Linked DNA regions of Nothobranchius furzeri. The protein of the gene in region 1 purifies or fractionates together with the protein of each later gene. This does not show direct contact. Links are inferred from orthologs where the notes say so. Each region holds a gene or a part of one and is shown on either strand. Other genes may lie near its edges.

Evidence for each region.
Region 2: the proteins of gba2 (region 1) and ilvbl purify together in Homo sapiens (co-immunoprecipitation; 3 studies listed by BioGRID and IntAct, counting the BioPlex papers as one, with this or other methods). This does not show direct contact. The link is inferred for Nothobranchius furzeri from reciprocal best matches to the Homo sapiens genes GBA2 and HACL2.

The regions. Positions count from the first base shown.
Region 1 is NC_091742.1:60,124,545-60,128,957, forward strand, and holds the start of gba2 (non-lysosomal glucosylceramidase), read right to left. Parts: upstream 2,923-4,413; 5' UTR 2,702-2,922; coding exon 2,508-2,701; intron 1-2,507. UniProt on the Homo sapiens protein: Non-lysosomal glucosylceramidase that catalyzes the hydrolysis of glucosylceramides/GlcCers (such as beta-D-glucosyl-(1<->1')-N-acylsphing-4-enine) to free glucose and ceramides (such as N-acylsphing-4-enine).
Region 2 is NC_091753.1:25,156,444-25,160,266, reverse strand, and holds part of ilvbl (2-hydroxyacyl-CoA lyase 2), read right to left. Parts: intron 911-3,823; coding exon 776-910; intron 1-775. UniProt on the Homo sapiens protein: Endoplasmic reticulum 2-OH acyl-CoA lyase involved in the cleavage (C1 removal) reaction in the fatty acid alpha-oxydation in a thiamine pyrophosphate (TPP)-dependent manner. Involved in the phytosphingosine degradation pathway.

The DNA.
Region 1 (4,413 bases):
CACAGACCACATGTCAAGACGATGACAATTTGGAGAGCTGAGATCAACTAAGCCCCGCCCCCTGACAACAGGAAGTGTGGGCTCAGAGGAGATGCTGAGTCAGGGTGAGGTGCGGACGAGCAGACCTGGCTGCCGGCCAGGACAGAGCGGCGCGGAGCTGCGAGGACCGAACGACGCTGCTTACAGCTTTAATTTGACTTGTGTTTTTAGCGTATATGCTTTTAGTATTAAATGCATTTGTTTTTACAAATTTCAACCGCAATTTGTTCTTGATTGTGTTGTGTTTTTCCTAGCCTTGTTCAGCACTTTGGCGTTGTCTACATGTCTTTAAATATGCTATATAAATAAACTTGACATTGACCTATAGAAAAAACATATTGAACGCCCTCTATCAAACAGCCTAAAGGTGACTGTGACATATAGATGAGTAAAATTAGGAATTCAAATATGTTGATTGTAGAATAATTTGTAGTGCTTAAGACCGAGATTAGAGCATGCTTTTGGACTGTTTCTGCCCGGACCAGTTTAGATGTGACACACACTAAGCCTGATCACTTTTTGTGAGACAAAGGGCCTCAATGCCATGGAACCTTGCCTTGATGTCTTGGTCACGCTCCGGTTGCCTAGGAAATACGTCATCAAGAACCGCCAAGACGTGTTCCAATGTTCATGTTCTACCGAGGCATCGGTTCTCCGTTTGTTAGCCGTTTAGCTAGCTGAGCAAGAATGCACAGGAGGTGACTTGTAGCCTAGCCTTAGTCAGAAAGTTCCCACAATACACCGCAGTATTTTCAAAAGGATGGCGGATCAGAAGCCGGCAGCTACTTCAGGGGCTAATTTAAAGTTTAAACGTAAGTCAACTAATTGTAGCTATCGGGTTGATTCCATCTTTCAGTTCTTTTTAAAACACAGATTGACGGGTTGATATCTAAAATGTTATCTACGGTTGGTTAGTTGCTTAGTAGTTGCAGCTTCGGTGGCTAGCGGGTAGTAACTCGCTTACATATTTAATTTAACCAATACTTACAATTTAAAAAGTAAAAGGCTTGTTATATATTTATATTGAAACTTATACGTATAAAACATGTTATCTCCCGTGTCACGTGACGTTACGTGACCGGTCACGTGATGCAAGTCTGTTCCATTTAATTGTTTTTTTTTTGACCAAGGAAGGACAGTGTCCTCGTAAGCAAGGCACCTGGCCTCGCAAGACATCTCGCAAGGCCAGGCGCCTTGACATTGAGAAACACCCAAAGTCATGTATGATTTCTTAACTTGATGACTGTCTGTAGCTTGTATCTGCCAAGGTGACTTTACTGTTAGTCAGTGATTACATGTTTCTGCTAATGCCAGCTCTTGCATTAGCATTAGCATAACTAGCGTTTGTAAGCATTAGGTAGCTAATAACGCCTCGTCAGACAGTGATCTCCAGCTCCCCGCTGGAGTGGTTCACAGCTGAGTGTGAAGCAGCTGAATTGAGAATCAGCTCCTCTAAATCCAAGACCATGGTCTTGAGTTGGAAAATGGTAGAACGCCTTCTCCGGGTCAGGGACGAGGTCCTGCCTCAAGTGGAGGAGTTTAAATATCTCAGGGTCCTGCTCACAAGTGACGGAAAGATGGAGCGCAAGATCAATAGGCGGGATGATGCTGTGTCTGTAGTGATGCGGGCGTTGTACCGATCTGTCGTGGTGAAGAGAGCTGAGCCAGAAGGCAAATTTATGGATTTACTGGTTGAGCTACATTTCCTCCCTCACCTATGGTCACGAGCTTTGAGTAGTGACCAAAAGAATGTGATCACGGATACAAGTGGCCAAAATTAGTTTTCTCCGCAGGGTGTCTGAGCTCTCCCTTAGAGATAGGTAAGCTCAGTCATCCAGGAGAGGCTTGGAGAAAATCAGCTGCTCCTCCACATCGAGGTGCCAGTTAAGGTGGCTTGGGCATCACCCTGGTGAGGCTTTCCAGGCACGTCCAACCAGGAGGAGGCCTAAAGGAAGACCCAGGACACTCTGAAGGGACAATGTCTCTCAGCTAGCCTGGAAATGCCTTGGGATTCACCCGGAGGAGTTGAACCAAGTGGCTGGGAAGAGGGAAGACTGGACCTCCCTGATTAGGCTACTGTCCCCACAACCCGAAACCGGATAAGCGGAGGAAAATGAATGGATGGCTGGATAGATAATGCCTTGTCTTTTTCTCATTGCTTTGTGTCAGCATAAGCACAGACTGTTGTTTATAAGAGTAGCATTGTATTGTTTACACAATATGTGGCTGCCCTTAATTAAACATAAATAAATCTGATGCTATGGAGTATTTTTACTGAGTGAACCACGTTAAAGCATAAGTTAATCTCAAACGTCATAGTTTCAGCCACTTCAGCTAGTGATGTTGCAAATCGCAAAAGTTTTCAAAAACAAACTTAAGTCTGAAATGTGCATGCATTGTGATCTCACTTCAAGAAAGAGATTAAAATATGACATCATTGCTAGATGCTAAAATGAGATATGTCTCACCTGATTCCAAGGCCAATGTGGTCCCAGACATTAGAAAGCGACACATCTTTTGCTTGAAAGGGCTTCCTCCTTTCCGTGAACTCATGCGCCAAACAGATTCGCCAACCTTCCCTGGGCACCCTGTATCCCATTTCCTTGGAGACATACCTGCTCATAAGCTCTGCTGAGGATTTCTCTCCCCAATCTGAAGTCATATTTAAACTAGGTTTATAGTGGGAAAAATGGAATTAGAGATCTTTAAGTTGGTGGAAGGGAGCCAAAAATACTTGACAGAAGGCTGCCACCACCTTTGGTAAACACAACTGTGCTTTGACCATGGGGAGAAAACAGAGAGGAGGTAGTTACAGGTGTGCTGAGTGAGCAGTGTGAGGGATCATAAACCGGTTCTCAGTGAGTAATCCTGGTCAAGGTGGAGGCCCTGGTGCCATTTTAAGGTCCTCAAACTAGACCGCTCTGCATCCCTCGAATGGGTCCGGGTGTGACTGTGGAGCTGACAGCACCAAGTAGAGACTAGATTGGATGGCTAAAGGGTTTCGAGCAACAGGAAGTACAGAAGATGCCTCAATCACTTAGCAGGAACATCTGCAATGACATCAGAGAGCGCAACTAAATTGTGAAAAAGATATGACAAAAGTTAAAGGAGGGACAAAATGTTGTTGCAAGCCTTTTCTCTCAGTAACCGGCAAAAAACTGAAAATCAATATTTTTATTACCTCGCTCACACTACATTTAATAACAGCAAAGCATTTCTTTAAAGCTTACGAACAATCGGAGTTGTTTACTAGCAGCCAGCATCAATAAATTGTAGATGGTAGTTTAGAATTAACCTGTGCGACAGCGCAATATACCGCTCAAACACGACCAGTGTAGCCTCTGTTAGCGCTTCGCTCTACACGTAAATTCTTAATGGGTTACTGTAGCGCTAAATTTTACCCTTTTCCTTGACTTTCAGACACACACTTTAATAAACGAGCCTTGTTTGAGAATAAACCATCTCTACAGGAAAGGTGAACCCAATGTTCAGCATACTGGTTATACTTACTTCATTGATTGTTGTAAAAAATCATTTTGTTGTCAGAAGGTACGGCCTGGCAAAATTTACTTCGGAGTGTATAGCCCACAACCGAAAGAGGCGCTACCATTTTGAACCATAAAAGGGGGGATTTGGCTAATTCTGTTTTTTTCCTCCTCCATTTGACAAAATTAGTATAATTTGGCGAATTTGAAAAAAAACTTGCATTTAATTAAAACGTTTTATGAATTCGTGATGAGAATAGCGCACATTTATTATTTATTGTGAAATGTTTAGTATTTTCCTCCCCACGAGTTAATGGTAGCAACGTCTGACTTTCAATGCTAGTAGTCAAAACAAAGGCCAACGAAAAACTATTCCTGCAATTATTTGTGACTTTTAATTGAATAGAATTTGAAAATAAAACAAGAATTGTTAGATCTTTTGTTAGTATTTTAGCTATTGATAATCCCAAATGAATATTTATTTATATGACTAAATTTTAGGACCACTCTGTTTTCCTCTGAGTTGTGATTTGTTGTCCAGTAGCGGAAGCAGACCATGTACATTTTGTTATGTTTACGGTAGCTCGCAGCCGTCTAGTTTAGCTAGTATGTCCAAATACATAGAATGTAATGTCAGACTGTGTACTTTTATTTCAGAGTAGTAAATTTAGACACACGTTGAACTAATTCGCAGTCTCGTTTGAGGCCGAGGTATGTAATAAAATAACTTTTTTAGGAAAAAATAGACTTCAGCTAATTGCCGTTTGCCTGTGCTGACGGACGGATGGAGATCCATTCATACAAGATACTCAAAAAATAATTTCAAATCCGAGTGTGTGTTTGTCTTATGTGAAGATGGTCGATTATTTGTGATTATTCGCTTTGCTTT
Region 2 (3,823 bases), on another chromosome or scaffold:
CATTTGAGGCTTGACTTCAGGTTAGGGTCAAACAGGTTATTATTTGGCGATACTTTTTTCATGATCACTGAAACAGGACGCTATTTTTCAAAGTTATAGTTGTGTCCAAATTCAGGGTCTTCCAGGTCCACATTTTAGGGCCAATTATGTTTCATTAAAGCAACAAGACTTTCCAGATTCACCAAATAAACAGAATGTGTCCTGAAATACACTCTTATTTTCTAGGATGGGTCTGATGTATTCCTCCTGTCCCAAGACTCATTACGGGCCCCACTTTTGTTCTTGTAATAATGGTAGACATAGCAGGAGATGATTACAGTTTTAAATGCAAGTATGTTAACGTATGGTGGTGCAAAAATTAAAAGCCTAAAGCAGCTGTGCTGTTAGGCTTTTGTTGTTTGCATTGTTGTTTTTCTAAATATATTTTTTGTCAAAAAAGAAATACGAAAAATCTTTGCAAATGAGTTCAAATGGTGGGTCCTGTATTTCTTCATGCATTGCTGTTAAGTTTAGTTTCAACTTCTTTTTAGTGCCATCAAAGTTGCTAGGCAACAGGACACATACTGAGGTAAGAGCAGGATTAAATCTGAAGGCTAGACCATCCAAATTCAGCCAGTGTTGGTGGTCGAGTAAGGAACTGACCTACATGGACTCGGCAGGCTGAGCCCCTACAAGGATGCTGCCCCTGAATTTGAACACATTCAACATCTGTGTTGCTAATGTGACCATACATGTCATATGATTTGATCGTGGTGACAGAAGGTTGCAAGCGTACCCTGAATTGCTACAGTGGGTCTCCAGAACATATCAGAGTTTTTCAGCAGCTGTGACTTGTCTCTGTTGACTGCGATGATCTTGCTGCGTCTGCTGAGAACTCTGCCGTAGCTCAGGCGGAAGTCACACACGGTGCCTGCAAAACACAATCAATCCCAACACAACTAAATGAATTTAGGCATTTCTGACTAGTCTACTCACTACAGTTGAAATGCTCACCGTATCTGAAACCAAAAATAAAAACCAGAAAACCCCTAAAACATAATTACTTTTATCTAATTACTCTAAATGTTATTAAGTATTGTTTTAAACATTTAGGAGAGAAGACGGTTGGTTTTCACAGCTGCTGAATGTCACTCCCCTGAGGGCGCTGTTATAAATGCTGGTGTTGGTTGGTTTAAAAAATAGTTGTCACAAATAGTTGCCGAGAAATCTAGAACGTTAGTAGCAGAAGCTAAACGATTTTGCTCTGCATGTCAGGCTAGCCACGCTTCATTGGAACCTCTGCAGCCCCGGAAAGTCTTGTAACTGGCCAATCACAGAGCTCTATCAGTTTGGTGGGCGGGGCTTTACTGCGACCGAGTGAAACCAAGACGGCAACGAGTCGTTTGAAACGGCTTTAGCATCAACTTTGAACTATTTAGACTTGGGCTTTTATTTAAGTCAAGAGAAGATAGAGGTACTTAAAGGATCTTTCCGGAGTTTTTCTCTTTCAGAAATTATGTATGACTTTTCAGAAATCCATAAGAGTGATTATCTTATCATGTACTGTGATATAATGTAAGCAATGTCTCTTTTTTTTTTGCTAAGCACGCCCCTGCCCTGCAGAGCTCCGTGCAATAGGAAACTGAGCGCCAACCAGAACTAACCAATAGCGTTAGACTACAGCTTAGATGTTTCTAAGGATTACCTCAGCTGATGCAGAGTTGATGAACTTTTCATGAACAAGAAAGTCTCTAAAATATAAATATATGAGAACACAACAAGACATGAGAATAATACTCATAAAACAACGTGTTTTAGCTCTGTTTGTCGGCTACAGAAGCACATTTATAAACAAGAAACTTGAAGTCGCCATCTTAAAAAAACAAAAGGAGAAATGATTTGTGTGATATGCTTGTCAGCCACTAGATGGTGCCATCAGACGAGAGAAATACTCCTGAAAGAGACTTTTAAAGTCTTTTATTTAGAAAAAGAATCGGCATCTTTTTCAACGATGCATGACTGACATCCGTAACGGTGAGTAGGTCACGTTGTTTGTTGTCCAATAGCATACAGAGACGGTTTTAAAGGCACCCATAAATCCCGCACCATAACGGAGACCCGTCAGTGGGCCGTGGCCAGAAAATATGTTCACATATGTAGGATGGCTTGCCAGGCTAACAGACCAGCTATGTTTTCAGGTTGAGAGTTTGAGACTTGACATTCACTGGTGGTTAAGGTTTTCAAAATCCTATTGTTAACAAGTAAATGTATCTAATATAGGTCAGGAAGACCAGCTATGGCCACACACCATATGATATAATGCTCAGGACAGTCCACGCTGTGAGACTGTAAAACAAGTTTATCAGAAGTACTGCAAAGGAGTTTCATATAAATGATCAAACACTGACATGATAATAAAATTAGTCCATCAGAGATTTGGGAGATGTATTTTGCCCACCGTGGGATACATTAATATTTAGGGATGCGTGATAGATCGGCATCAAATCGGTATTGGCCGATGTTGGTCATTTTTGAGCATATCGTTATCAGTCCAAAAAGATAAACGCCGATATTAACAACCAATGTTTGTTTCCATCTTGTTGCTGTTTGGGTATGTGTTTATGAGAGGGAGGGGAGGGGGGTGGCCATGTGGTATTTGTTTGGGCAGTTATGCAGCACAAAAGCAAATGTAGGTGTTGTAGTCGCTTTTACATTGTTGAAAGGCTAGAAAATTATTATTTATTTAATTAATACATATATATGGTGTTGAACATCTAGAAATCTATGTTTACATGTGCCAGTGCCTTCAAAAGCACACTTTGGATTGTTCTTCACTGATCTGGAGCACATGAAGAAAGGACATCAGTTTGGGCCCCAGTCCACTTGGATAGTGGATAAAACAGGCATTACTATGGTCCACAAACTAAATAAGGTAGAAGCTAAGAGACTACAAGCAAGCAGAGGGTGGAACCCTGGTGACCCTGGCCTGCGATGTCTCAGCCCTTTCCATTTTCTTAGCTTTGTTCCCACAGGATGTGTAGAAGGTGCAAAGCCCAGTGGACGGATGGAGGAGAATATTCTGTACTTTCTAGAGCACTTTGCAGCACTCACACAAAGTACAACAGAGGCCATGCCTGTTGCTCCCTGACAACCACAGCATCCGATGGGCTGAACTACACCAAACAGAACGGGGCTGTTATTGCTCGGACCACCTGCAGCCCCCGGATCTGACCGTCTGTGGTCTCTTGAAGAGACAAGTCAACACTGCTGCCTCTACATGGAAGTTGAGTAATCCAGGAAAAACAATGACATGCACAACACACCAGAACTTGTAACTACAGCATTCCATCTTGCTGTAAACATGACAACCATTCAAAGAGGTTTGTGGGCAAGGGGTATTTATCCCGTCAATAGGGCAGTTTGCTCCGAGTCAGCATTTGCTCCTGCTTTTGTGACGCCCACGCTTTATCTGTCAAACCTGTGACTCCGGTAGGGAGTACATAAATGAGATGTGGGAAGGCCCGTTTCTGTTCTGTTGCAACCATCTTCATTCTATTTTTAACACAGAATTTTGTCGAATAGCCTACATGTTGTCAGTTCATGGAACATACAGTACACACATACATACAATGTTGTGTCAACTAAGAAATGAAATGAAGCTTTGTAAATTAAAAGATGTAGTTATTTTGTCATTCTCTACAGGTTTTATTCTAAGGTGAATTGTCAAACTGATCCATACATGTTCCTGATTGGATAAATAACTAAGCACATCTGTTCTTAATTAAATATAAAACTATCTGCATGTTAAATAGTTTTACTATAGATAAACAGCGACTGAAACCAT